7 linked regions of the Callithrix jacchus genome follow. The protein of the gene in region 2 interacts with the protein of the main gene of each other region in a pairwise test. Links are inferred from orthologs where the notes say so. Each region holds a gene or a part of one and is shown on either strand. Other genes may lie near its edges.

Region 1 (3,970 bases), on a different chromosome or scaffold from region 2:
AAGAAGCACCAATATTGAAAGGGCTTGGAAGTCAATTACCTTTGTCATGCCCTCCCTAAAATTTTACCCAAAAGACTGGAACAACATTTGACCTATTTTAAATATGTTCTCTCAACCTTCTTCCTTTCCAGATCCTAAACTCCTTCCTCTAGGACAAGGCTGCTATTCGGTATCACTGTGTATAGGTATCAGTATGGCCATAGCAGCTGCTAAGTTATTAAAATACTTTCATACCAGTTGCTAAGTAGCTAATCTTAGCATCCTTGCCAAAGAAGTTGTTACATACTTGCAATATATAACTATGTGTTATTTCTACTTTCAATTTCTAAAAATAGTAACTAACAGAGAAGGAACTTGATTTTTGTGGAATGACTGAATGTCTACATATCTTTCAACGCTCTAGTCATACCTCTTCATCTTGGAATCCTGGTTCTTCCACAACCTGATCCTCCTTCATATTGAAAGGTGAGCAACAGAAAAATAATCGCTTCTGGGAAAATAAGAAATATATTTAAGAAGTAGTCCTCTGAGGAGAGGGGAGCAGGGGGAAAAAAAGAGTAGTCCTTTGTCCTGAGGCCTCTGATTTCATTTCAAAGTCACCAAGGACTAGAAGAGAAGTATTTAGCTTGGAAAGACTAGGCCTGCCTATCTTCTTTCTGCAAGGCATGTGGCATTATTTCTTTTGTGTGTGTGTGTGTGTATGTGTGTCCTCACACTCACACAGGTGCCTGAGGGGCAAATTGGGGGAAAGACAAATTTTTTGTCTTTCCCCAACAGTGATATTTATCAGCTGATTTCCATTGCACAGCTAATCATGACTATGTAATATCTTTATTATTGCCTTGAAATGTTATTTAGAAGTGCATATTGCTTTTAACCCTTCTTGTTTAACAACATTCTAAGAACCTTGACATTATATCATTCTTCCTTGTGTCCTCCCTGGCACCTCCAACTTTGTCCTCAATAAATGGATTTTATTTTTCTCATTTATGATGAAGGCCTTCCTGCCTGCTATGATTATGAATGGACACTCCTGTGACATCTACCTTTTTGTTTCATAGAACATTAGCTATACTTTCTTTCACAGTATTTACTAGTTTCTTTTTTTTGAGGAGTCCTGCTCTGTCACCCAGGCTGGAGTGCAGTGGCACAATCTTGGCCCACTGCAACCTCCGCCTCCCGGGTACAAGTGATTCTTCTGCCTCAGCCTCCCAAGTAGCTGGGATTACAGGCGTGCACCACCATGCCCGGTATATTTTTGTATTTTTAGTAGAGATGGGGTTTCACCATGTTTGGTCAGGCTGGTCTCCAACTCCTGACGTCATTATCCACCCGCCTTGACCTCCCAAAGTGCTGGGATTACAGGCGTGAGCCACAGTGCCAGGCCGATTTTGTTAAGATTTAAAAATATGGTGGATACATAATATTAAAGCTGATAAAGCAGTGAAAGTCTTTAAGATTGTAGACTCAAAAAGAAATCTCAGGAATCCACGAACTGTGATTGTGCTTATTACAATAAAATGCCATCCAAATAATCATTTTTCTCGGTCTATTCCGTTTCCTCATTTGATACCAAAGTTAGGGGTTGGACCCTAGAACAAAGGGAACGGACTATTTTTTTTTTTTTTTTGAGGAGTCTAGCTCTGTCGCCCAGCCTGGAGTGCAGTGGCGTGATCTCTGCTCACTGCAACCTCTGCCTCCTGGGTTCCAGCGATTCTCCTGCCTCAGCCTCCCAATTAGCTGGGACTACAGGCGCGAGCCACCACGCGCAGCTGATGTTTTGTATTTTAGCAGAGACGGGGTTTCACCATGTTGGCCAGGATGTTCTCGATCTCCTGACCTCATGATCTGCCCGCCTCGGCCTCTAAAGTGCTGGGATTACAGGCGCGAGCCACCACGCCCAGCTGATTTTTTGTATTTTAGCAGAGAGGGGGTTTCACCATGTTGGCCAGGATGTTCTCGATCTCCTGACCTCGTGATCTGCCCGCCTCGGCCTCTAAAGTGCTGGGATTACAGGCGCGAGCCACGGACTATTATTAATTCTAAGGCAGAAGCAGGGTCTGACCACCGGGCACCGCAAACAGCAAAGGATGGAAGGCAACCAAGACCGTGTGGACGGGGTCTTCCGGGGTCTGTCCTTCAGAGGGCTACAAGTATGAGCACCCCAGCTCCGCATTTACTGTCCCCGTCATCCATTTCTTCTCCCCGGGATGAAATGAAAAGATTGTCCCCGTCTCTCACGGAGCCTTCGATGGACCGAACCGTTGGATTTAAGGGAGGGCTGCCCCATCCCCTGGCTGAAGGCCACCTCTGGAGGGGGCAGCAGCGCGGTCGGGTCGCCCTCGACGTCTCCCTCCGCAGGAGGCCTGGGCAGACCCCCGTGCGGCCGCCGGACGTTTTCCCGACACCGGATTCCCTCGTCAGGAGGACGAGGCGGGCCCTCCTGGACTTAGGTCCGATTCGATTTAAAATAAGGAGGTTGGAAATCCCTCAAGGTCACCAAAACTCCTCCCCAGGGGTCGGAGCGGAAAGCTCCAAGTCACTAGGGCCCTAAAAAAGGAGCGAGAAAGGGAAGCGCGCCATGGCAAAACGAGCGTCCCCTCAGAGTCTTCGCACGCCGTCGGTTTTTGCCACTTACCCCCCTCGTACCCAGTTTCCCCGAGATTTTCAAGGTGAAACCCCTCTGCCCCCGCCCGGCCTTTCCCGACAGTCCTCAGCTGACAGGATTCTAACTCGGACACAGAACGCGGAGCCTGGAGATCCGCGAGCCGCTGTCCACAGGGTTTGGCGCCAACCGACTAGGGCGGGGCGAGGACGGAGGGGCTGGGCGGGGCGCAGATGAGGAGGCGGGGCGAGGACGGAGGGGCTGGGCGGGGCGCAGATGAGGAGGCGGGGCGAGGACGGAGGGGCTGGGCGGGGCGCAGATGAGGAGGCGGGGCGAGGGGGAGCGGGCGGGCCCCCGCAGTGGGCGGGGCGGAAAGCAATGGGAGCTGGGCTAGGACCTAGGGGCGTGGGGGGCAAACGGGCCAGTAGCTGGGGGAACCCGAGGGTGTGGCCTGGAGGGGGCGTAGCGAGGAGGGAGCCCGGGCACGGCGCAGGGTGAGGGTTAGAGGCGAGGACCGAGGGGCGGGAAACGAGGAGGAGCCTCCTCTGGGAGGCGCGCTGAGGTGAGGGAGTGGGGGAGGGGCGCTGTGCAGGAAGCGCGCCGAGGAGAGGGACCTTGAAGGGAGGAGACTGTTGAGCTGGGGCGTCTCTCGAGGGGACCACCTCGCTCAAATTAGGGAGAGGACTCTGAGGAGGAAGCCTTGAAGCTGGGGAGGGGCGCTGAGCAGAGGTGGCCTACGGGTGCGAAAGGTCAGGGTCGCGAGGGATTGCAGCTGGAGCCTCGGGTTAGGAGTTCGAATCGGAGGTCCTTTTTATGAGACGGAGTTTGTCACTCTGTTGCCCAGGCTGGAGTGCAAGGGCGCGAACTTGGCCCGCCGCGACCTCCGCCTCCCGGGTTCCAGCGATTCTCCTGCTTCCGCCTCCCGAGTAGCTGGGATGACAGGCACCCGCCACCCTGCCTGGCTCATTTTGTATTTTTGGTACAGACGTGGCCAGGCTGGTCTCGCATTCCCGACCTCAGGTGATCCGGCCCCCCGGGCCCCCCGGAGTGCTGGGATTCCAGGCGGAGCCGCCGCGCCCGGCCCCGGGCTGGTTTCCATGGCCGGCGTCGGCTTGGCCCTGCTCCCGCAGCGCTCCTCATTGCCCACTCCGTGACTCTCCCCGTTCGCCACTCCTGTCTGTGATTGAGACACCCGAGGCCCATTCAGGGTGGAGAGTGATTTTCCTCTGCCTTAACTTGGAGTTTTAAATAGACTGCAGACGCCTGGCATATTTCGGTTCAGCTTTTAAATAGAAGCTGCGGGCCAGCCTTCGTGCCAGCAGCGCCATTGCTGGCAGCGCCCTCCTCCTCCCCTCACGCGGAGAC
Region 2 (4,093 bases):
CAAAACCAGGAAAATCTGGAATACTAATTTGTGTTTCTTTTGTTGAAGCAGTTATTAAAATTTCTAGTAAAGTTGTGTTGCATTATCTCTTTATTTTCACTTATGCGAACTATTCATAAAATGAATGAAAAATGTAAAAAATAAAAATAAAGTATCAGGCCAGGAACCATGGCTCATGCCTGTAATCCTAGCACTTTGGGAGGCCGAGGTAGGAGGATTGCTTTAACCCAGGAGTTTGAGACCAGCCTGAGCAACACAGCAAAATTCCATCTCAAAAAAAATAAAAAGTAAAAAAATGAAAAAATAACATGTCCCCCAGATGGTAAGCATTCCAGATAGCTCATACATGGAGTCTAGAAACACAATTTTATATATCCTAAGCAGCCTTCCAGAGCAATGTTCTCAATATGGCTATTCATCAGAGCCAAATTACCAGAGGCTCTAGTTATTATAAAAACAGCTTCCTGGGCCGGGAGCGGTGGCTCACGCCTGTAATCCCAGCACTTCGAAGGCTGAGGCAGGCGGATCACAAGGTCAAGAGATCGAGCCCATCCTGGCCATCGTGAAACCCTGTCTCTACTAAAAATACAAAAAAATTAGCCGGGCGTGGTGGCATGCATCTGTGGTCCCAGCTACTCGGGAGGCTGAGGCGGAAGAATCGCTTGAACCCAGGAGACGGAGGTTACAGTGAGCCGAGATTGCGCCACTGCACTCCAACCTGGCAACGGAGCAAGACTCCTCTCAAAAAAAACAAAAAACAAAAAACAAAAAACCTCAGCTTCCTGAACAGATACAAATTTCATGGAAGGACTTAGGTACTCTGCTTTTTAATAAATATCCTGGGAGTTTCTGAAGATCAGGCATTAAGAAGTATGTCCATATAAAGTCCACTCTAAGTAGAATAATTAATTCTTACCCCTAGGATTCCATTTCTCAGCTACTGAACTGGCAAAAATCCAAAGTTTGACAATACTCTCCGACAGCAAGGCTTTGAGAAACACTCATACACTACTAGTGGGAGCGTAAACTAGTACAATTCCCATGGAGAATGAGTTTGCAGTAGCTTACTAAAATTCTAAATTCAAATACCCTTCAACTCTGCAGTATCATTTCAAGACCTGAACTGTACAAACACATGTGCACAAAGGAAGCAACATATGTAAAAGTTCATTCACTGCAGCACTGACTGTAACAGCCAAAGACCTGAAAGCTATATATGCTGATATTAGAAAGTTCCAAAATATTATCAATAACTGGAAAAATAAGAGCAAAATGTGGAGCAGTATATAAAATGTTAACGTTTATGTTAAAAGAAAGGAGACAGATGCAGTTTGTATGTTTGCCTGTGTAGATAGGATATTCCCGGATGAATACCCAAGAAATTTAAAACAGTTGGCTGCCTGCCAAAAGGAAGGAGACTTCATACTATATACCTTTGTATGCTGCTTAAATTTTGAGACACGTGACCGTTTACCTACTCGAAGACAATATTTACAAAAGATGTTGGCAGCACTTGAAAGAAAATTAATCAATGTGAACGTAACTATTACTAAGTGTAGAAAGTATTTTAAAGTTGTTTGGGGAGCTTTCCTTTTTTATAATCTCTTGGCATTTAATACCTATAAAAAGGACCCAAATCTGGCAACAGGGAAAATAGTTGTGCCACGCACATTTTAAGAAACTGTTTAATTAAACAGTACATTTAACTGGCAACCATTAGCAAATTCTTCCCCTTTTATGACTTTTACATCTTTTCCTATAATGCCCAAAACTAAAAATGTCTCTGAAGTTCAATTTCGTTTATAATGGAGAGACTAAACAAGCGGATGTTAGAGCTCGGTAAACCGAGTGTACTTTCTAAGGAAAGTACGTAATGGAAAAAATAACCGTAAATGTGTATGCGGTTATATAGAATAGATGATCCTAGAAACTCCTTTCAAAAATGTGCACATTCGAAGCCTCCATGACTCAATAATCCCACTTTGATCAAAGTAAAAACTTTCCGCATCCATATGCCTTCCCTTTCCCATCATTACAAGGAAATCCTGAAAGGAAAGCTGTGAGTCATCAGATCTCAGGAGTATTTCCTTCTAAACATACTCTGCGGGAAACGTTTCTCCTTCAGGTCCAACAGCACCAGGAAAAAGCTCAGGGCGAACAACCTCTCCCCACCCGCTTCCAAACAAGTCAAGGTTTCGCCCACTAAACACCTCCTTCCTGCTTTCAAATCCAGGACGTTCCTAATAACCCAAAAGGAAGCACAGCCCAAGAAACGCGGGGAGACAGGACGTTCCAAATAACCCAAAAGGAAGCGCAGCCCAAGAAACGCGGGGAGAAACCGCGGCCAGAGGCTCTTTCTTTACTTGTCTCGAGATCTTAGCGAGCGAGAACAACGAGGATCGAGAGACGGTCCCAGGAAGAATCCCAGAGCTGGGGCCGCGGTTGCCGGCGTTCACCCGGCCGTGCCTCGGGGCTCTACCCACCCCAGCCCCAGCCCCAGCCCGGAGAGGAGCTCGAAACCCGCGGGGTCCCGGGGAGCAGAGCGCGCTGCTCCCGCAAATTTGCCCCGCAGCCAGCACGGCGCAGGGAGGGGCGCGGAGCCCCTGAGGAGAGGGCGTCGCCGCCGCCTCCCGAAAACGGCTGCGACCAGGACGCTCTCGGTTAAAAGGCCCGGGGACCATCACGCCTCTGCCCCACGTCCCCGCGCCCGGGACCCGGCACCGGCGTCCCTCTTGCCCCCTTTCGGCCTCTCACCTAGCCCACAAGGACTCACTCACGGCCGCCGCCTCCTCCGGTCACTGGCACGGACTTCTGAGGCCCAAGGGTAGCAGAGCGGCGAGAGCCGGAGGACCGCCCCCGAGGCGCGTCACGGCACCGCCCCCGCCTTCCGCCCGCGCAGGCGCACGGCCCCGGGTCAGGTGATCCGGTTCCCTAGGTAACCGGGCGGCGGGAGTAAAGGGACCTGGGCGTGGGTAGTTCCTGCAGCTACCGGTATCTGGCAATGTAGGGCCGTGCAGGTGGCCCGCTGTGCCAACTGGCCGCTGCCCCGCGGTTATGCTCCGCGTCTTCTCCGCTCTTCTGGCAGTTCGTGCCCGCTGGCCCCTTTCCACCCACTCACTACCGTGTGTATAGCAGCTCACGGTCGCTTGGTTCTGGTCGCCTACAATTCAAACAGGTCTCGGGAGCCCATGCTCCCTCTTGGGATGCCTTCGACTTCCACCACTGCTGTCCTAACCTCACTCTCCTCTTGCTGTACCTCTCCACCATAGGCTCACAAATGTTCCTCTCACTCACTACCCCTTCTCAACTCCTGCCTTATTTTTCTGTTTGAAATGTGGGGGGTCGAAGGGGAAGTTACTAATCTTTGTCCGCCTGAGCTGATATTCCTTCGCTGTTGAGAGTTCTGTGTGGTGCTGCGCAAAAGTAATTACTGTTTCCTAATACAAAAACATAACGATGATTTCTTGAGGGCTGATGATGTGCCAGCCATAGCTCTACGAACTTAGTGTATAGTCTTATTTGGTCTTCACATCAGTCTATAAAATAAATACAACATCGCATTACAGACAGACTGAGGCACAGTTTACCCAAGAATAATCATAGTTACCGTGGAATACTGTAGAGTGCTTGACAAAATAGCATTTACAAGCAGTTTATAGCTAAATTAGTGCCACAATCATATCTGGCAAAACTAATAAAAAAAATCTGAGGGTAAAAGAGGTGACAACTAAAGATGAAAACTTTCACATGTACCCCAAAACCTAAAATGCAATAAAAAATTAAAAATAAAAAAAGAAAACTTTGCTCTCAGTAAGGTTATATGTAGTTAGGCTGATGAAAATGGACGTTTAAAAATAATCACAAGGTAGATTGGGAATGAGAAAATAAAACTTTTTGTTTTCAGATGAGATGGTTATCTAACATAGAAAATCCAGGAAAATTGACACCCCTCCCCTAAAAAATAGAATGAAAAGCAATTACAGTAAATTTTCATGAACAAGTTTAAAACAAGCTGATCCTAAGCCAAAATGCTTGGGACCAGAAATGTTTCCAATTTTGGATTTTTTTTGGCATTTATGAAATTCTCATTATA
Region 3 (3,451 bases), on a different chromosome or scaffold from region 2:
AGGGATCAGAAGTGGGCAGAAGTTGGGATGACCAGGGATTGGGTGGGGGTCAGGTGTGGATAAAGTTGTCTATCATGTACCTTACTTGGTGATAAGCAATCACTCAATGTTTTGTTGGAGGGGCCAGCAGGCAAACAAATGGACAGCATTCAGGGCATCAAAGGATTTCCTCTTCCAAGGCCCTTCTGGTGCCTGGGTGGCTTGCTGGGTCAGTTTTGGAAACCCTGAGGCTATGCTCTCCCCACTCACAGAGCTGTGCAAGCATTGCCTGGCAACCTGCCCCAGGCCCAAGCATTTCACAATCAAAATAGTTCCAACATCTGCACATTTTGAGATTTCATGGCACACGACCTTTTACATCTTGTCCACACTTATCCAACCTTTTGTTAACCATTCTAGCGCCAAAATTCTATCTAGGACGGAGAATTGATTTGAAAGCCAGAGAAGCTTCCTATTTCTTCAGCAGACTTTGGGGTCAAAAGATTTTTGAGCCTACAGAATGTTCTTAGAGCTCAAAACAGCATCTTATAGTTTTTTGGTTTTTACAAAATGCTTCACAAACAGATATTGCCTTTGACTCACAACAACCCCATGACAGGGGTGGCCCACCTAACACTGAGGCTCAAATGAATTAATTGGCCAAGGCCACACATTGTGTAAGTGTGTGAAATGGGACTTCTTGATCGTTTTTCCATAACAGACCTTGGGACTCTTAGAGAGTGAGTATCTGACCCCAGTTGGTCCATTTCTCAGACTTGGGAATGTGGACTGAGGCTGGAAGAAGGAAGTCTAGGGAGGACAATGCATGGGCTGCAAGGTCTGGAAGGCGAGTGAGTTGAGGTCTCCTGAGGCTTCTGGTCAGCCTTCTCCCTGATAGGTTTTCTGTCACTGGGACCCTCTCTAGAGTCTGTGGTTCTCCTGGAAATGGAAAGAGGGGATTGGTGGGAGGAATGGCAAGGCCAGGGGTACCCAGGTAGAAGTTCTCAGTGACTCCGAAGCTGAGACAGCTGAGTGGCTGTGAGAAAACGATGCTGTCACTTGCCAAGGGGGCTTCACGGGTATCACCACATCCACATGGGCGCTCTTGGTGGCTTGGCCAAGCTCTGCCCCTGGCTAAGCCATTTCTACCAATGGCTAAGCCATCTGTTCTGGCCTCTCTTCTCAAAGTCCCCAGCCCCTCACACCAGGAAGCTGCAGCAATGGCTTGGGGAAGGTGCCCAGGGGTCAGGCCACTCTACCTGCTAGGGACTGGAGGTCTGGGGCCTGTCAAGCCAGGGGGTCCTGGTCCCATTGCCCTTCCTCTCCAGTCAGGGTTTCAGGCCCTAGGCCAGGGCTCAACAGATGCAGGCAGCTGGATGGGGTTGCCCTTCTATTGATCCAAGTTCTGAGCGTAAGCTGGGTGAGTCATGGAGGTGATGAGGCCCACGAGGCTCAGCAGCGTGGAGAAGAGCAGCAGGAAGGATGCCGTGAAGAGGAGGGCAGGCAGGGCACTGAGCACCAGCAGCAGGAGAGCCGGCAGCAGGTGGCGCCACACCGCAGCCATGACGGGCCACAAGGAGCTCAGCAGGTAGGAGCCAGTGGTGAAGAGCGCATGGCACAGCATCAGTGCCAGCAGCAGGTAGAGTATCCCCTCCAGACCCCACAGCAGGCGCTGCAGCGGTTGCCGCCAGCTCGAGGTGTTCCACCAGTGGATCCAGCTCCGGGGCACATGGGATGCCAACCAGTGCACCCAGCCTTGCCGTGTGAAACAGGCCGACCAGGGCGCTGCCTGCTGTGGCCCCTCGCCGGCCCCGATGGTATCTGTCTCCACTCGAGGCTGCTGCATCACGGCTGGTGCACCTGGGGAGAGGGCCAGGGTCTTGGAGATGCCTGGGACCTCAGGAGGGCAGAAAGGGGGTGCAGGGGTCAGGAGGGCATGAACATGGGTGGGTGGGGCAACAGAGTTGGGGCCTGAGACTTACCTCTGGGCAGAGTTCCTAAGTCATGTTGCTTCTTGCAGTGCCCAGGATGGCCTGGCAGGCAGATCCAAGTCCTCACTCTCATCTACCCCCACCCTCCCCAGAGGAGCCCCTTTGTGACCCGGGCTAGGGTGGGGTCCTGCCAAGAGAGGAGCCTCTGCAGGGTGTGAGGCCCACCCAAGTCCCTCTGCATGGACCGTCCAGGCTGGCAGGGGATCCTCGGAGCCGTGCAGGTGTACTTATCATGCTTTCTCATGGAAAGCCCTCCCTGGATGCCTGACCCTTCCTTGCTTTCCCTGCTGGCTGATATCTACCCGCTTCCACCCTGTTCTCTTACAAGTCTTTCTGTCTGGATCTTCATTCTCTAGAACCACAGAAGAGGCCAGAGTGGCTGCCCCAAACCCACAGGCTCTGAGATAGCTGCCACATCCTTCCCCGGGCTCCCTGGCTCGTATCCTGCCTTCTCTTGCTGCCCCAAGACTCAGACCCAGGTATCCAATACCTATGTTATGGGACTGGAGGTCCTGTGAGTTTCAGGCTGGGAAGAAAGGGGTAATGTCCCACCTGCCCAGCCAGGAAGGAGAAAACGGGGCCTGAGGAAGGAGGATGGCCATTGTATATTTGAAGGACACTGTTTTTGGGAGGGGCTCTCAGGCCCAAGGATGGAGGCAGAAGGCCAGGCCAAGCAGGGTCAAGGGCATGCCATAGGCTCTCAGGAGCAAGCCAAGTCCCAAGAGCAGCAGCAGCAGCACATCCTGGAGGTGAAGTTGTCCTGACACTGCCCCCATTTGCAGAAGTAGAGCCTCCTGCTGTCCTGGACCCTCACCGGCCCCCTGACTCTGGCCCCTGGTGAGAAGTTTGTGCTGTGGCCGTGTGCCACCTGTGGGCCTGCGGAGAGAGAGGGCTTAGGAAAATTGTCCACTGGACTGCCCACCTGCCAGGCTGCTGTCCACTTACCTATGGAGCAGGTCAAAAGTGAGGAAGCTGACTAGCAATAGCAGCAGCAGTAGGGCTGGGCCAGTTGTGGAAAAGACTGCCTGGATTGTCATCCCTAGTGCCCCCAGCCCTAGGACACTGTCCAGGAGCTGGGCCCAGCTAGAGCCCCAGGGGGACATGCACTGGATGACACGACCCCTCCCCAGCATCCAGACCCCTGGGAGGAACTGGGATCAAATCTGCAAGGGCTTTGGGTCTGGGTAAACAGAGCTGGGTCATGGAGAGAGGTGGAGGTAACAGGAAGAGCTAGTCCTAAAAGAGATCATAGAAGTGAGAATGGAGGAAGGGGTAGGGCCCTGGTAGACACAAGGGTAGGCTCAGAGTGGGGAATTAGGCTCCTGAGGAGTCTCCCCATCCACTAAACTCACCCACCAAACCCTCCTCACCTGCTCCCACTTTGGTCAGCATTCTAGGAGGGTACCTGGGGCATTGTGACCTGTTGCCAGGTGGGGCCCTGGGGTATGGAGGGGGCTGCTGCTGCTGCTCTGGCCTCATAA
Region 4 (4,240 bases), on a different chromosome or scaffold from region 2:
AAGTTGTATTTTCCCATCTGAAACTCACATGACAAAGTGGATCCTAACTCCTAATGACTAAAGGAAAAACAAGTTAACTGTAAAACCATTTTTATTTTATTTTATTTTTTTTGAGACGGAGTTTCGCTCTTGTTACCCAGGCTGGAGTGCAATGGCGTGATCTTGGCTCACCGCAACCTCCGCCTCCCGGGTTCAGGCAATTCTCCTGCCTCAGCCTCCCCAGTAGCTGGGATTACAGGCATGCGCCACCGTGCCTGGCTAATTTTTTGTATTTTTAGTAGAGATGGGGTTTCACCATGTTGACCAGGATGGTCTCGATCTCTTGACCTCGTGATCCACCCGCCTCGGCCTCCCAAAGTGCTGGGATTACAAGCTTGAGCCACCGCGCCCGGCCCAAAAACCATTTTGAAAAACGAGGTCGGTGATTCTCAAACTTTAGTGTGCATCCATCCGAATCACTTGCAGAGCCTGTTAAAACAGTTTCCTGGGCCTCATTGCAAAGGGCTGGGGTGAGGGCTCCAGAATTTGCAGTTCTTTTCTTTTCTTTTTCTTTTGTTTTGAGATGGAGTCTCACTCTGTTGCCCAGGCTGGAGTGTAGTGACTCGATCTTGGCTCACTGCAACCTCCTCCTCCCGGGTTCAAGTGATTCTCCTGCCTCAGCCTCCCAAGTAGCTGGGATTACAGGTACGTGACACCATGCCTGACTAATTTTTGCAGAGACGGCATTTTGCCATGTTGGCCAGGCTGCTCTCGAATTCCTGACCTGAAGTGATCCACCCACCTTGGCCTTCCAAAGTACTGGGATTACAGGCATGAGCCACCACACCTGGGCTGAGTTTGCATTTCTAAGTTCCAGGTGATGTGACAGCCACTGGTCTCCAGCCACACCTTGAGAATACTTGGCTTTGACTACTGCTTCTTAAAGAAGGGAACTGGGGATTCTGTTGAAATGCAGGTTTTTTTTTTTTTTTGAGACAGAGTCTTGCTCCGTTGCCCAGGCTGGAGTGCAGGAGTGTGATCTCTGCTTACTGCAATTTCTGCCTTCTGAGTTCAAGGGATTCTTGTGCCTCAGCCTTCTGCGTAGCTGGCATTACAGGGGAGAGCCACCATGTCCAGCTACTTTTTGTATTTTTAGTAGAGATGGGGTTTCACCATGTTTCCCAAGGCGGGAGGTTCTGCCTTGCCATGAGTGAGCAGGTTAGCAGTTGCTGTTGGTCCATTCCCCACACCTTGAGAGGCAAGGGGAAGTCCCTTCACCTGTTGTCCAGGAAGCCGGGTATTTAGCCACCAATCTCCCAGCCCATGGCTGAGGGCTGCTTTAGGGAGTGTTAACCCCCAGTCTTGCACCCCAGCTCCCAGGAAGCCGGCAGGCTGAATTGCAGGTGCGAGTAAAAGAAAGTCTCAGGTCCTCATGCACAGCCACGCAGAATGCCAAGGGCCAAAGGGATGGACGGAGACTTCTGCTCCCCCATCCTTCATTTTACTTCCTGTTTCTTAGGCTTTTCTTCCCCACTAGGTTGGAAGGGAAGCTGGCTTGTTTATCTCTCTGTAGCAACTTTTTTTTTTTTTTTTTTGAGACAGCCTAGCTCTGTCGCCCAGGCTGGAGTGCAGTGGCGCAATCTCGGCTTACTGCAACCTCTGCCTCCCAGGTTCAAGCGGTTCTCCTGCCTCGGCTTCCCGAAGTGCCGGGATTACAGGCGTGAGCCACCACGCCCGGCCCAGCCGGTAACTTTCTTGAGTAGTATTTAGAGTAAGTAATCTCCGGATCCAGCCCCTCTCCTTAAGGAAGATGCTCTTTAGACCGCACGCACATATTTTGTAACAAACAAACTCGCCGGAGGAGGGAACGAAGGCTCGCTTCCTTTCTGCCAGAGTCTATCAAAGCTCTGCATTAAACAAACTGTGAAGTCCACCAAGTGCAAGTCCGCGTTAATCTTGTTTTAGCGATTCATTTCCTTTCTCCAGCAAATGCCTCCGGGCATCTATGAATGCGCCCTTTGAAGGAAAGCGAAAGCCCAAAGCGAGCGGTGACCCTTTCTTTAAAGAGAAAATGTTTCTTGCGTTGGGAGGAAAGCTGATGAACTCTAGCAGGGCGTTGCCCGCTCCCAGGAGGCCAGTTTTCCTGCACAGAGCAGCGGCTGACAGTTCGGGGAAGGCCGGGGGCCGCGCACAGGCTTGCACAGGCGGGCGGGCGGGGCGCGCTGTGTCTGCCGCCCGGGCCCGCCTGGGGTTCAGCGGATTATGGAAAGCGAAAACCACCTCGCGGAAGGCGAGGGCTGACCGCATCCCGAGGTGCCGGCGCGCCCTCCTCGGTCACTCGAGTGGATGGGTGGGGATCCTGCGGCTGGCCGCCCCGCACCCTCGGAGTGCTCCACGGCTCCCCGCACCCAAGCCCTGCACCTACCCCAGAAGACGATGCCCGCGTTGTTGACCAGCACATTGAGCCCTCCGTACTCCTTGCGCAGGAAGTCGCGCAGGGCGCGGATGCTTTGCAGGTCGTCGATGTCCAGTTGGTGGAAGCGCGGGCTCAGGCCCTCCGCCTGCAGCTGCTGCACGGCCGCCTGGCCCCGCGCTACGTCCCGCGCCGTGAGTACCACGTCCCCCGAGAACTGCCGGCACAGTTCGCGCGCGATGGCCAAGCCGATGCCCTTGTTGGCCCCGGTCACCACCGCCACCCGGCTGCAGGACGACATGGCTGAGCGGGGCGCGCAGGACACCTGCGTGCAGGGCGGACCGGCCTTCGGACCACCTGGGGCGCGCCCCGTGGAGCCTGGCCAGTGTCAAAGCCGCGGCGCAGACTAAGTTCTGCGATCCAGTGCTGCGAGTCTTAAAAGAACAAGGCCCACGGTCTGGGTTCCTCCCCTCCGAGGAGGGGCAGTCTGTGCCGAAGATTTCGTAATGTTTCAACTCCCGGGCCCGCCCCGTGCCCACGCTGCGCCCTTCTGGTTCTGGGCAATGAGCCGCCGGCTGATCTGCGAGGTGTGCTTTCCCCAAAGCCAAATCCGACTGTGGTGGGTCAGTCGGGGGCTCCAGATTCGTGGCAGCTGGACTGAAGAAACTATTTTGGGAAAATCCCAAAGTGAGAAAAACAAGTGCTGAGTAATTTTCTTGGGTGCGCGCCCATCATGCTCTGCGAGATGCGAATGTTTGCTTTTTCCTAAGATGCAGTGACTTCGCTTAGACATAGTAACTGCTTCTCTGGACGGAGGTCCCCTTGCTTGCTTAAAAGAACTCAGGAGAGGGAGTTAGATGACCTGTGAGCACATTAGCAGTTGTGGGCAGGTGACATCGCTCTGGGATCCCCAGTGGATGTGCCCCCAAGTGGGAGGGAATGTTTTTATTTAATCCCGACCTAACTCCTCTGGGTGCTGAAAGTGTCTGCACTTAGGTTTGTCCAAGGAGGATGTAGATCTATAGAGATCTGGATTTTTAGGTTTGTCCAAGGAGGATGTAGATCTATAGAGATCTGGATTTTTAGGTTTGTCCAAGGAGGATGTAGATCTATAGAGATCTGGATTTTTAGGTTTGTCCAAGGAGGATGTAGATCTGTAGAGATCTGGATTTTTAGGTTTGTCCAAGGAGGATGTAGATCTGTAGAGATCTGGATTTTTAGGTTTGTCCAAGGAGGATGTAGATCTGTAGAGATCTGGATTTTTAGGTTTGTCCAAGGAGGATATAGATCTGTAGAGATCTGGATTTTTAGGTTTGTCCAAGGAGGATGTAGATCTATAGAGATCTGGATTTTTAGGTTTGTCCAAGGAGGATATAATCTATAGAGATCTGGATTTTTAGGTTTGTCCAAGGAGGATGTAGATCTGTAGAGATCTGGATTTTTAGGTTTGTCCAAGGAGGATGTAGATCTGTAGAGATCTGGATTTTTAGGTTTGTCCAAGGAGGATGTAGATCTATAGAGATCTGGATTTTTAGGTTTGTCCAAGGAGGATATAGATCTATAGAGATCTGGATTTTTAGGTTTGTCCAAGGAGGATGTAGATCTATAGAGATCTGGATTGATCATATATTCTCACAGTGAGATCTGTGTACTGGCAAAGAAAGTTAAACTGAAACAAAATTCCCAAATGTGTGTCAAGCTGTGGGCACAAAATCAGATCCCCATCCATCATCTTCAGTGTAAATTGAGTTGTTTGATCAGTGATTTTAGGATTTGGGGAGAGCTATGACATCATCATGACTCCTCCGCCTTTTCCACGCAGAGCTGGCTAACCTGCCCGTGTCTCTG
Region 5 (3,500 bases), on a different chromosome or scaffold from region 2:
GTTGGTCAGGCTGGTCTCAAACTCCCAACCTCAGGTGATCCACCCTCCTCAGCTTCCCAAAGTGCCGGGATTACAGGCATGGGCCACTGTGCCTGGCCCAACTGAACCATTTTAAAAAGGTCATGCACTACATAATAAATCCAATTCAACATATACTAAATACCTAGTATCTGCAAATCACTGGCCTAGCGCTGTTGGAACACAATGAGGATTAAGACATGGTGCTGGGCACCAGAGCTCATGCCTGTAATCCCAGCAGTTTGGGAGGCCGAGGCAGGAGAATTACTTGAACCCAGGAATTTAAGATCAGCCTGGGTAATACAGTGAGACCCTATCTCTGTTAAAAATAAAAATAAAGCTGGGCACAGTGGCTCACACCTGTAATCCCAGCACTTTGGGAGGCTGAGGCGGGTGGATCATGAGGTCAAGAAATCAAGACCATCCTGGTCAACATGGTGAAACCCCGTCTCTACTAAAAATACAAAAAATTAGCTGGGCATGGTGGCACATGTCTGTAATCCAAGCTACTCAGGAGGCTGAGGCAGGAGAATTGCCTGAACCCAGGAGGCGGAGGTTGCGGTGAGCCGAGATCGTGCCATTGCACTCCAGCCTGGGTAACAAGAGCGAAACTCCATCTCAAATAAATAAATAAATAAATATAAATAAATATAAATAAAATTGCTGGGTGCAGTGGCTCACGCCTGTAATCCCAGCACTTTGGGAGGCTGAGGCAGGTGGATCACCTGAGGTCAGGAGTTTGAGACCAGCCTGACCAACATGTCAAAACTGTCTCTACAAAAAATACAAATATTAGCTAAGCATAGTGCGCACCTGTGGTACCAGCTACTCAGGAAGCTGAGGCAGGAAGAATTGCTTGAACCCAGGAGGCAGAGGTCGCAGTGAGCTGAGATTGTGCCACTGCACTCCAGCCTGGGCAACAGAATGAGACTCCATCTCAAAAAAAGAAAAAAAAAATCTGAGTCTGAAATCAAGTTTCACCACTAACAAATTATGTGACTTTGGGCAAGGCTTTTAACCTGAGCTCTGGTGCTTTGGTGCCTTATATTCTGAGAACAGGAGCATGCGCCCTCCTCCCTTCATAGGGTTATCATATTGAATGAAATCATTAAAGTGATTCTTTGACCACTTTCAGAACCATCAAGACCCGCCCAAGGTCACATCCATTCATAATAAAATGGAAATGGCAACACCTGAACAACCCTCCAGCAGTCTGTCAGATCACATCTTCCTTCCTATGAAAACTTTCTCCAGGTTTTCCAGGTCTTACTAAACTCTCCATGTTCTGAACTCCTTTGATACACCAAGTCAGTGCACCCAGTCAGGTGCTACATTGGTCTCTTGTTAATCCTGCCTGTAAGCATCTTCTCAATGAGACTGTAAGCTCCTTAAGGGCAGAATCTGGCTGGCATTCATTTCATGTGTCCTGAGACAGTGCCTTGATCTATAGATGCTTAATAAATGGTGACTGGATAACTGATCAGCAATGAGTTCTTCCAGAAGATGCAGTGAATTACCTTCGATGATCCCCCATGGAGTTTTTCGGCCAAGGACCCTCTTGCCATTCACTTGGTACTCCTTGTCACTTCCCACCACAGCAAACGGCATGCTCTCCTGCTGTACGGGGCAGAAACACAAACCAGACAATGTGCACCGTCATCCTCCAACAACCTGGGTATCCAGGAGCAGGACGACCTATGGTCCTGTGGCCTTGAACCACACTCTTCTGATGCTCATTCAGAGATACCACTGATGGCAAGGGCAAGGCTCAGCCGATTGAAAAGAGCACCACACTCAGAATCAGGAGTCCTGGGTCGAATCCCGATTGTACTACTACCCGGCTGGTTAACCTCAGGAATCAGCTCTCCTTCAGCTGCAGAGCGCTTCATACATTTTTTTTTGAAATGGAGTTTTGCTCTTGTTGCCCAGGCTGGAGTGCAATGGGACAATTTCAGCTCATTGCAACCTCTGCCTCCTGAGTTCAAGTGATTATCCTGCCTCAGCCTCCTGAGTAGCTGGGACTATAGGCATGCACCACCATGCCCTGCTAATTTTTATATTTTTATAAAATAGAGAGTATATTTTTATAAAGTAGAGACAGGGTTTCGCCATGTTGGTTAGTCTGGTCTGGAACTCCTGACCTCAGTTGATCCACCTGCCTCAGCCTCCCAAAGCGCTAGGATTACAGGTGTGAGCCACTGCACCTGGCTTTTATTTTTAAATGGAGTTTCCACTCTTGTCACCCAGGCTGGAGTTCTCAGCTCACTGCAACCTCCACCTCCTGGGTTCAAGCAATTCTCCTGCCTCAGCCTCTCAAGTAGCTGGGATTACAGGCACCCACCACTGTGCTCAGATAATTTTCATATTTTTAGTAGAGATGGGGTTTCACCATGTTGGTCAGGCTGGTCTCGAACTCCTGACCTCAGGTGATCTACTTGCCTCAGCCTCCCAAAGTGCTAGGAATATAGGCGTGAGCCAATGCACCCAGCCACTTCATACTTTTCATAGTGCTTTACATACGCTTACTGATTTTGAACACCTCTGGCCTAGCAAGGACAGACAGAATCCCTCTTAAACAAGTCCACCCAAGCAGACTCACTGATGCTTTACACCATCTCTGTGAAACCTACTACTGCAGATGCCCAGGCCCTCGGAACTCTCAGAGCTCTAGGCTACTTCCTGGTGTACAAAAGCCAGACCTGCTCCACCAGGTGGGATGCCTGTTCATCAGGAGCCAGCTGTTTGTTCCCAAATCTATTTGCCTGATGTGTACTTGTTATTGTAATTAGATAGACTGAAGCCAGATGCCTGAAGAGAGTTGATTCTCTGAAATTTAAGCTGAATGTTTCAGAAAGACTTGATAAAGGTGAGTTGCTTTGGCATTAAAGGTGGGCTTCTCCTCAATGAAGAGGCCTTGGTGCTTCAGGAAAAGAATGTGTAATGAATGTGATGAATATGTTTTGTTTTGCTTTGGGCAGGTGAGTTATTGTACACACCTTAGCGGATTCTGAGTTCCATGCCCATTGTCCTGCTTATATATGTTTTAAATTATTTTAACTTAGTAACTTCTTAAAATATTTATTTTTAAACATTTAAGATTTGTGACCAGGTGCAGTGGCTCATGCCCGTAATCCCAACACTTTGGGAGGCCAAGGAGGGCTGATCACCTGAGGTCAGGAGTTGGAGACCAGCCTGACCAATATGGAGAAACCCATCTCTACTAAAAAAAAAAAAAAAATACAAAATTAGCTGAGTGTGGTGGTGTGTGCTTGTAATCCCAGCTACTTGGGAGGCTGAGGCAGGAGAATCACTTGAACCTAGGAGGCGGAGGCTGCAGTGAGCTGAGATCGCATTACTGCACTCCAGCCTGGGCAGCAAGAGCGAAACTCTGTCTCAAAAAAAAAAAACACTTGTAAACATCATTTTAGAGAATGATTTCCTCGCCTCAGAGAACTTTTTCAGTTAATTGACCAACTACTGGT
Region 6 (3,500 bases), on a different chromosome or scaffold from region 2:
CTACACTTGTTCATTTTTCAATCAAGTTCCTCTTTCTGAACTTGTTCAAGACCTTGTTTGAAATATATGCAGCTATTGCTTTTCCCCTTTCACCTAGCACAGGGAAGTTACTTGGCAAAGCTCTATTCTGGCCAAGTCACTGGGACTGAGTAGAGCCCATGTTAGCAGCTCTGGGCCTGAACAGGGCTGGCCCACCGTCACAGTAACCACCTACAAAGAGGCAAGCCCTCCTGGATTTTTTCAATATTTCCTATACTGACTACAGTAGTGAAGGTTAAAGCCATCTGCCCTACAAACTCCATTGGATCTGAAGCTGTATTTATTGTACAGATGGGGGAAATGTATTTTATTGTTTGTGTCAGTTATATTAATTTTTATCAATGTGATTAGATATGTATTTTGGCCTATTAATCTTATTCATGATATTCTTAATCTGAGACAGGTTTAAATTCTCACTAAAAGCAGCTACTTAAGAGTCCAATAATACAAAATCAGGAGAGTATTACCTTTTCTGCAGCTAAGTGAGTCAATGATACAGCAGCAATTAATACTGGCCATTAATCACATCCAGAGAGCACATTAACAAACCTTTTATTCCCAGTGACTATCAAGAGACTTGAAAATAACCACTATTCTCTTCCAGAGTAGAATACGATTTTCTAAATAGTGAAAGAAGTGATCATCATAGTTGGTCTGAACTCCAAGACCTACTCCTCAAAACAGCACCGACGGCAAGGGTTTGGGATGCCTGCTAAGAGCATTTCCACAGTTCAGTCTCTTCAGAACCTTAAGAACCTTCACACACCCACCTCCGCACATGAACCAGCCTACCACACTTCACATCTGGGCATACCGGCCATTAGCAACAGTGCAGTCTCATGCAGCAGCACATTAAAATCAAATGGTGGCAATCGTTTGCCACCCTCAGAATGTTGGGAGACTTTCACATTTCATCATCCTTATAATCCACAAACAAATATGAAGGGATGCAAGTGAGTTCACCATGCACTCATCTGGTGCACTCAAGTGCTGAGAGAATGCAGAATTTACAGTGTTACAGAAGAAAAATGCCATCTGAAATAACAGTAAAAATGGTTAAGTGTGGTATTTAAATATTGGTTCCCTCCTCTTCATAGTGGAAGAAAAGAATGGGCAGGGTACCAACTGGGCCATGAGGTTAACCCCTTAGCACAGGCAATGAAGAACATCCAATGCCACATATTCTGTAGGAGGAGAAATCCCAAGGGCATACAGTATTCCTGAGAAAGATCCCAGATTTTTCTGAATCAGTCTTAATCTGATTTTGTTTTGGCTACACAGTTATGTTATACCTCTGACATATACAAAAAATGGTCACTTTATTTCAATCCCGACAACTCAGCATAGTACAAATGACGGCAGCAAGATCCATTTGTTCAGACTCAGATTGCTTTTTTTGTTTTTAATACTGGGGGATAAACCAAAAAAGTGTATTTTTTTATCATTTGTATCCTTCATTCTACTTTACTGGAGTGGAATCTCCAGGGCCTTCAGATAATCTGGGAAGACCTGACTATTCCTGTGAGGCAAGCACATCCCTGCTGAGCTCTACTCAGAATAATGCATGATAGACTCAACGTAATTCCCAGGAAAAAGCCCAGTCACTCCATTCATAACTCCCTCATACCAACCATCGTCATTCTTCTTGATGACATAAATAATGGCTCCTTCCTGAAAGGACAGCTCATCTTCCTTGTCTTTTGTATAGTCATAAATTGCCACAACTGGGAGGGAAGAAAAACAAAATAGGATGTGAAAGAGAATAATATTCCTAGAAAGATAGAACCAAGCAGGTGAATATGTATCCTTTCCCAAATCCTATAGCACTCATTCATGGTGACTTTCTAAACACCAACCAAAACGTATTTTTTTCTAAGTTATACCCAGTCACATACAACGAAATTCCATGTTCCATGGATGTTAGGCTTTACACTGAGTACAAATGATGAAACAGCACATTTACTCAAATGTGCTTTTGATTACCTTTCAAGAGCCTACGGGAAAGTACCTTGTTAAAGAGATACACAATCCTAGAATCAAGAAAGATGGCTGTTTCTTCATCTGAGCTTGTGTTGAGATACCATACTGTGGTTTAAAAAAAAAAAAAGCTTTTCTTTACCTTAGAATTTTACTAGTGCAATGAGATACACTATGAGAGACAAGTGAGAAACCAGACAGACTAATGAACAGCAGATATCGGTCTTCTTCCTCTCACTCTCTGGAGCCTATGCCTCTTTCACTAAGTAGAATGGTGTTTGAATTTCCCCAAGTTAAATGTATGAATGATGGGAGTCTGCTACATATATTCTTTCAAAACATATGCTGCATTATGTCAAGCAATTTAATATAACCATAATAACAGACTAAAAGTGCCAAGAAAACCAAGATACCTATAAGCTCTCCTGTGATTTTCATTGCTTACATCACTTGGTAACTTGGCTCTTTCAGTCATTATCTCAGTGGTTATTTCAACTGTTATCTTATTTCAACCAGATTCTGATTCCCAAGTATTATATCAACTTCAACAGTTCAGTTATACTGGGATACCCTGTAACTTGCTCAAATCCACTTGAAGAGTTATCCTTTGCTCCAACCTCTTCATCTCCTGTACCTTTTTTATACCACTCAGTGAAATCTCCATCTATCCATTGTTCTGAGACAAATATACTGTCTTTGTTAGTTTGTCATGTGACCTTATACCTCACGTAAATAAATGGGAAACAAACCACAACAAGGACTTTTGATATAATGTAATGTGCCCTAGTGAAAGAAAATTTGTTTCTGGCCTGTTTTAATAAAAATTAAATAGCTTTCTTAAATTGTGAATATTTTCCATTAGAGTGATATAGTAGGAACACCAGAATATTTTTTTTTTTCTGAGACAGTCTCAATCTTAACGCCCAGGCTGGAGTGCAGTGGCACCATCTCAGCTCACTGTAACCTCCGCCTCCCAGGTTCAAGTGATTATCCTGCCTCAGCATCCTGAGTAGCTGGGATTACAGGCTCATGCCACCATGCCCAGCTAATTTTTGTATTTTTAGTAGAGACGGGTTTCTGCTATGTTGGCCAGGCTGGTCTTGAACTTCTGACCTCAGGTGATACACTCGCCTTTGGCCTCCTACTCATTACAGTAGTGAGCCATCTGCACCCAGCCAGAAAATAGAGGATCCTTGCTAGGAAGAGATCAGCGTGCATTTCTCAATATACAACCAAATGCCTGAAGACAATCAAATGTAGTTAAATGGCATACAAGTTTAAATATAAGAAAATACAATTTAGAATATTTAGCATTTCTAGTCAACCCAGTATTTTCTACTGCTTTTTTAAGGAAAGATAACATTAATGATGCTTAAAGAAACACAAACCCTTGGCTGGGCACAGTGGCTCATGCCTGTAATCCCAGCACTTTGGGAGGCCAAGGCAGGCAGATCGCTGAGGTCAGAAGTTCGAGACCAACCTGG
Region 7 (3,928 bases), on a different chromosome or scaffold from region 2:
TTTTTGAGACGGAGTCTCGCTCTGTTGCCCAGCCTGGAGCGCAGTGGCACAATCCCAGCTCACTGCAACCTCCGCCTCCTGGGCTCAAGCGATTCTCGTGCCTCCGCCTCCCGAGTAGCTGGGACCGCAGGCGTGTACAACCCTGCCAGGCTGACTTTTGTATTTTTAGTAGAGATGGGGTTTCACCGTGTTGACCAGGCTGGTCTCAAACTCCTGACCTCAGGGTCCCCCCCCACCTCCTCTGTGTCCCAAGGGCGGGATTACAGGTGTGAGCCACTGCACCTGGCCTTCCTGTACAATTATTAAGCGCCTTCAGGCTACTGTAACACAGTTCTAGTGAGGAGGGTCTTCAGAGAGAAGAGTGTGTGTGTGTCCGCATCCAGCTCTGCCCCAATCCTGAACCTGGCTCTGGAAAGAATGACTGTGACAACTGCATTTATTAAGCGCCTATTGTGTGCCAGGTTCTGTGCTTTCCCTGAACTGTCTCATGCAACAGCCAGAACTGGGCTGGGTGGGTGTTGCCCAAGGTCACACAGGGAACCTCTGGGCTCAGAAGGCTTGGGACAGCCTCCGTTCTCCTCCCCTGGGGCTGCTATCTGCAGAGAGAGATAGAGGCCACTTGCCGACCAAAGGGCAGACGCCCAAGTTCCGCAGCCCAGCCCTCCCCTCGGCCAGCATCAGTCTTTATCGACAAGCACCCAAGGTCGGGGTAGGAGGGGTCCCCCAGCTGGTCCCAGCAGGCTATGCGGCCTCCGGGCCACTGTCTCCTCTGAGTTTCTTCATGTTACCCAGGGGTGTAGGACCTATGGGTTTAAAGGAGGTGCGGGGTTGCGGGGGAGGGGGATACAGGGGGATGAGGGAACGCCACCTTTCCCCGGGCCTCCCTGGTGGGGGAGGAATGGCTCTCCCAGGGCGTCCCTCCCCTAAATCCCTTTTTCTGCAGGTTCAGCACTGGGAGGATGACCTTGAACATGGGAAGTGTGGACGGGGCACAGCCCCCAAGATTAGCAGCAGATGGGACTGGGGTGGGCAGGGTGGAGGGGGCGTATGCTTCAGACAGAGCAGGCACATAGGCAGCCCCTGCCTCCCTGTACCTCAGCCTCCTCCCTGGCAACACAGTGCCCCAGCCAGCCCGTCCCTGCTGCCTGCCTCCTGGGCGCTCTATGACCTCAATTCCCGCCCACTGGCCCCAGGGATGTGGAAAGGGAGGGCAGAGGTCAGGGGCCTGCTCCCCGGGGCAGGCACAGGGGGCCATGCCACCTGCTGTGCTGTGCACATGGGACCAGGCACCTGGGGACCTCCAGGGTCTGGGAACAGATCTCAGACTGTCCTGGGGCTGCCAGGCATGGGAACTCCCAGATGGTGGGAAAACGGGGGAAACTGGAGTCCTGGGATCTGCCTGCAGGAGGTGCTCAAAAAAGTGGCACTGCCCGCTACCCACTGCGCCCCAGGCTAGAGAAAATCCTTGTGAGTTACTCTGCCAGGCTCCCTGAAAAAGAAGGCAGGGCCAGTGGGGCTGGGAGCACCACACAAAGGGAAGAAAGGCTGGGTACAGTGGCTCCCTCCTGTCATCCCAGAGCTTCGGGAGGCTGAGGATCACTTGAGCCCAGTTTGACACCAGCCTGGGTAACATAGTGAGACCCTGTCTCTTAAAAAAGTTAATTTTAAAAAGTTTTAGGCTGGGCAGGGCCGGCGGCTCACGCCTGTAATCCCAGCACTTTGGGAGGTCGGGGTGGGTGGATCACTTGAGATCAGGAGTTCGAGGCCAGCCTGGTCAACATGGTGAAACTCCATCTCTACTAAAAATACAAAATTTAGCTGGGCATGGTGGCGCACACCTGTAATCCCAGCTACTCGGGAGGCTGAGGCAGGAGAATTGCTTGAACTCGGGACGCGGAGGTTGCCGTGAGCCGAGATCGCGCCATTGCACTCCAGCCTGGGCAACAGAGCAAGACTCCCTCTCAAAAAAAGAAAAAAAAAAAAACTTTTAAAGGTGGAGAGGGAGGCATTTAAGGAGCGATTGCTACATGCGCGCTCTAGACAGTTTTGGAAAGGGGCAGGGCCGCACAGTGTCACCAAGGCGGAAAGGACCAGGAGAACATGGAGTCACAATCGGGGTGTCGGGATCTGGAGCTCCGCGGGCGCCAGTCCAGCCTCCCCCCATCACAGCTGTCAGACGACCCAGCTTCGTCTTAAATATTTACGCGCAGTGGCACTAAGCCATTGAGCCGGGGGAAGGAGACTAGGCCAGCCGGGAGGAGGGTCCTGGGCAGCCCCCCGGTAGCCCCCCAGGGACGGTCCGTTCCCCTCCCGGAGTCCACGGGGGGCAGGGGACGGGGAAACGCGCGGGTCACGGGCATCCCCACCCCCACCCCTCCGGGGCCACCGGGCAACTGGAAGAACCGGACTTCGGCGTGGCGGGCACCCAGCGCCGGGAAGGAGGCTGGAAAGGGGGGCGCGGGCGGACCCCGAGGTCCCGGTCACCCCGCACGCTCCACCGGCCGGACCGGACCCCGCAGCCGGGGAGGGAGTCCGATCCGCGACCCCCGGGCCCGTGGCCTCGATGTGCCCGTCGGCGAAACGGGCGATCGCCGACCGCTCACCTGCAGCCAGATACCGCTTCTCCACCCCGGTCTTGGCCTCCAGCGCCCCCAGCGCGTCGGTGACCAGGTTCCTCTGCTCCAGGAAGCGCTCCACGCGCTGGCTCAGCCCGTCCATGGCCCCGGCGCGCCCGGCGTTGGCTGCTCGAGCTCGCCCGCGGCCCCGCGCGCCCGCCCCGCTGCACGCGCGCAGCTTTCTCGCAGCGGGAGCCGAGCTGTCCGGGCCCCGCGCCGGTGTCCGCCCCCGGCCCCCCGCCCGGACCAATGGGAGGGCACGGCGGACAAAGGAGGTGGGGCCTGCCCCGTCTCCCCCGCCGCATCGCCCTCTGGGGGGGCTGCGGCCGCCACTGCGCAGACCCCGCCTGGAGAGGGCGGGGCGCACCAGTTCAGGGCACCGATTGGCCGGGCGGGAGCGAGACGTAGCTGATTGGAGGGGCGGTGTCAGGGGACGGGATTATTGGCTGCGACGCTGAGGGGGGTGGAGCTAGGGTGAGGCGCGGCACGCGGTGGAAGGAGGAGCCTGTGGGCGGGGCTGGAGAAAAATCCGAGCCGATTGGGGAAACGGTACGCGATTCATTGGTGAAGCCGGAGGAGGGGCGGTCTGATCCGTAAAGGAGGCGGGGCTGATTAGTAGGGGCGGGGAATTGGGCGGGGCTTATTGGAGGAGGCGGGATTGCTCGATAGAGCGATTTTGATTGGGCCGGATAGGAGGCCGGGCTGATTCTCGAAGGAGGGGGTGTGTGGGAAAGTGGGCGAGGCCAAAGAAAGTGCTGGACGCGTTACCACGAGTGACTCCCCTTCTCTGGTTTAGATTATTGTCGTTGTACAAATGGGGGAACTGAGGCTCCCGAGGCTGTGGGTCTGCGGAAGGCCGGCAGGCGTGCCTCCTTCCCGCTTCTGTCAGATCTTCGCGCCTCTCGGCGGGGGTAGCCTCAAGGCCCCCTGGGAGTCGAAGCCTTCCGCGTTGCCATGGCGCCGGGGGCGTGGCGGGCGCCTGGGCCCCCTCGGCGGTTTGGCGGGGGAGGGGCTTGCTCAGGTCCCGCCCCCTCCCCGCCCCGCGTCCATGAGGCCCGCCCCGATTGCGCTATGGCTGCGCCTGGCCTTGGCCCTGGCCCTCGTAGGCCCCCTGGCTGTGGGGTGGGCCTCGTCCCGGGCCCCCATCTATGTCAGCAGCTGGGCCGTGCGGGTGTCCCAGGGGAACCGGGAGGCCGAGCGCCTGGCACGCAAATTCGGCTTCGTCAACCTGGGGCCGGTGGGTGGGACCGGGATGGACAGGAAGTGGGGGCTCGAGGGGACTGGACGGCCCCAGACCCCGACAAGTGGGAGGG

The links.
Region 1: the proteins of SDCBP (region 2) and DMC1 interact in binary tests that used the Homo sapiens proteins (3 or more experiments, as listed by UniProt). The two-hybrid records come from large-scale screens. The link is inferred for Callithrix jacchus from reciprocal best matches to the Homo sapiens genes SDCBP and DMC1.
Region 3: the proteins of SDCBP (region 2) and TMEM239 interact in binary tests that used the Homo sapiens proteins (3 or more experiments, as listed by UniProt). The two-hybrid records come from large-scale screens. The link is inferred for Callithrix jacchus from reciprocal best matches to the Homo sapiens genes SDCBP and TMEM239.
Region 4: the proteins of SDCBP (region 2) and CBR3 interact in binary tests that used the Homo sapiens proteins (3 or more experiments, as listed by UniProt). The two-hybrid records come from large-scale screens. The link is inferred for Callithrix jacchus from reciprocal best matches to the Homo sapiens genes SDCBP and CBR3.
Region 5: the proteins of SDCBP (region 2) and SEPTIN3 interact in binary tests that used the Homo sapiens proteins (3 or more experiments, as listed by UniProt). The two-hybrid records come from large-scale screens. The link is inferred for Callithrix jacchus from reciprocal best matches to the Homo sapiens genes SDCBP and SEPTIN3.
Region 6: the proteins of SDCBP (region 2) and ABI2 interact in binary tests that used the Homo sapiens proteins (3 or more experiments, as listed by UniProt). The link is inferred for Callithrix jacchus from reciprocal best matches to the Homo sapiens genes SDCBP and ABI2.
Region 7: the proteins of SDCBP (region 2) and REEP6 interact in binary tests that used the Homo sapiens proteins (3 or more experiments, as listed by UniProt). The two-hybrid records come from large-scale screens. The link is inferred for Callithrix jacchus from reciprocal best matches to the Homo sapiens genes SDCBP and REEP6.

Annotation. Positions count from the first base shown.
Region 1 is NC_133502.1:209,475,728-209,479,697, forward strand, and holds the start of DMC1 (meiotic recombination protein DMC1/LIM15 homolog), read right to left. Parts: upstream 2,801-3,970; 5' UTR 2,639-2,800; intron 491-2,638; 5' UTR 458-490; coding exon 410-457; intron 1-409. UniProt on the Homo sapiens protein: Participates in meiotic recombination, specifically in homologous strand assimilation, which is required for the resolution of meiotic double-strand breaks.
Region 2 is NC_133517.1:14,796,753-14,800,845, reverse strand, and holds the start of SDCBP (syntenin-1), read right to left. Parts: upstream 2,801-4,093; 5' UTR 2,774-2,800; exon of another isoform or gene 2,755-2,773; intron 1-2,754. UniProt on the Homo sapiens protein: Multifunctional adapter protein involved in diverse array of functions including trafficking of transmembrane proteins, neuro and immunomodulation, exosome biogenesis, and tumorigenesis.
Region 3 is NC_133506.1:10,320,811-10,324,261, reverse strand, and holds TMEM239 (transmembrane protein 239), read right to left. Parts: upstream 2,046-3,451; 5' UTR 2,044-2,045; coding exon 1,962-2,043; intron 1,877-1,961; exon of another isoform or gene 1,840-1,876; coding exon 1,370-1,839; 3' UTR 1,239-1,369; intron 919-1,238; 3' UTR 501-918; downstream 1-500.
Region 4 is NC_133522.1:42,208,720-42,212,959, reverse strand, and holds the start of CBR3 (carbonyl reductase [NADPH] 3), read right to left. Parts: upstream 2,801-4,240; 5' UTR 2,694-2,800; coding exon 2,405-2,693; intron 1-2,404. UniProt on the Homo sapiens protein: Catalyzes the NADPH-dependent reduction of carbonyl compounds to their corresponding alcohols. Has low NADPH-dependent oxidoreductase activity.
Region 5 is NC_133502.1:189,775,209-189,778,708, forward strand, and holds part of SEPTIN3 (neuronal-specific septin-3), read right to left. Parts: intron 1,636-3,500; coding exon 1,536-1,635; intron 955-1,535; exon of another isoform or gene 832-954; intron 1-831. UniProt on the Homo sapiens protein: Filament-forming cytoskeletal GTPase. May play a role in cytokinesis.
Region 6 is NC_133507.1:124,726,992-124,730,491, reverse strand, and holds part of ABI2 (abl interactor 2), read right to left. Parts: intron 1,764-3,500; coding exon 1,588-1,763; 3' UTR 1-1,587. UniProt on the Homo sapiens protein: Regulator of actin cytoskeleton dynamics underlying cell motility and adhesion. Functions as a component of the WAVE complex, which activates actin nucleating machinery Arp2/3 to drive lamellipodia formation.
Region 7 is NC_133523.1:1,413,199-1,417,126, reverse strand, and holds the start of REEP6 (receptor expression-enhancing protein 6), read right to left. Parts: upstream 2,801-3,928; 5' UTR 2,719-2,800; coding exon 2,604-2,718; intron 1-2,603. Other genes in the region: PCSK4 (proprotein convertase subtilisin/kexin type 4), read left to right, coding at 3,664-3,852. UniProt on the Homo sapiens protein: Required for correct function and survival of retinal photoreceptors. Required for retinal development.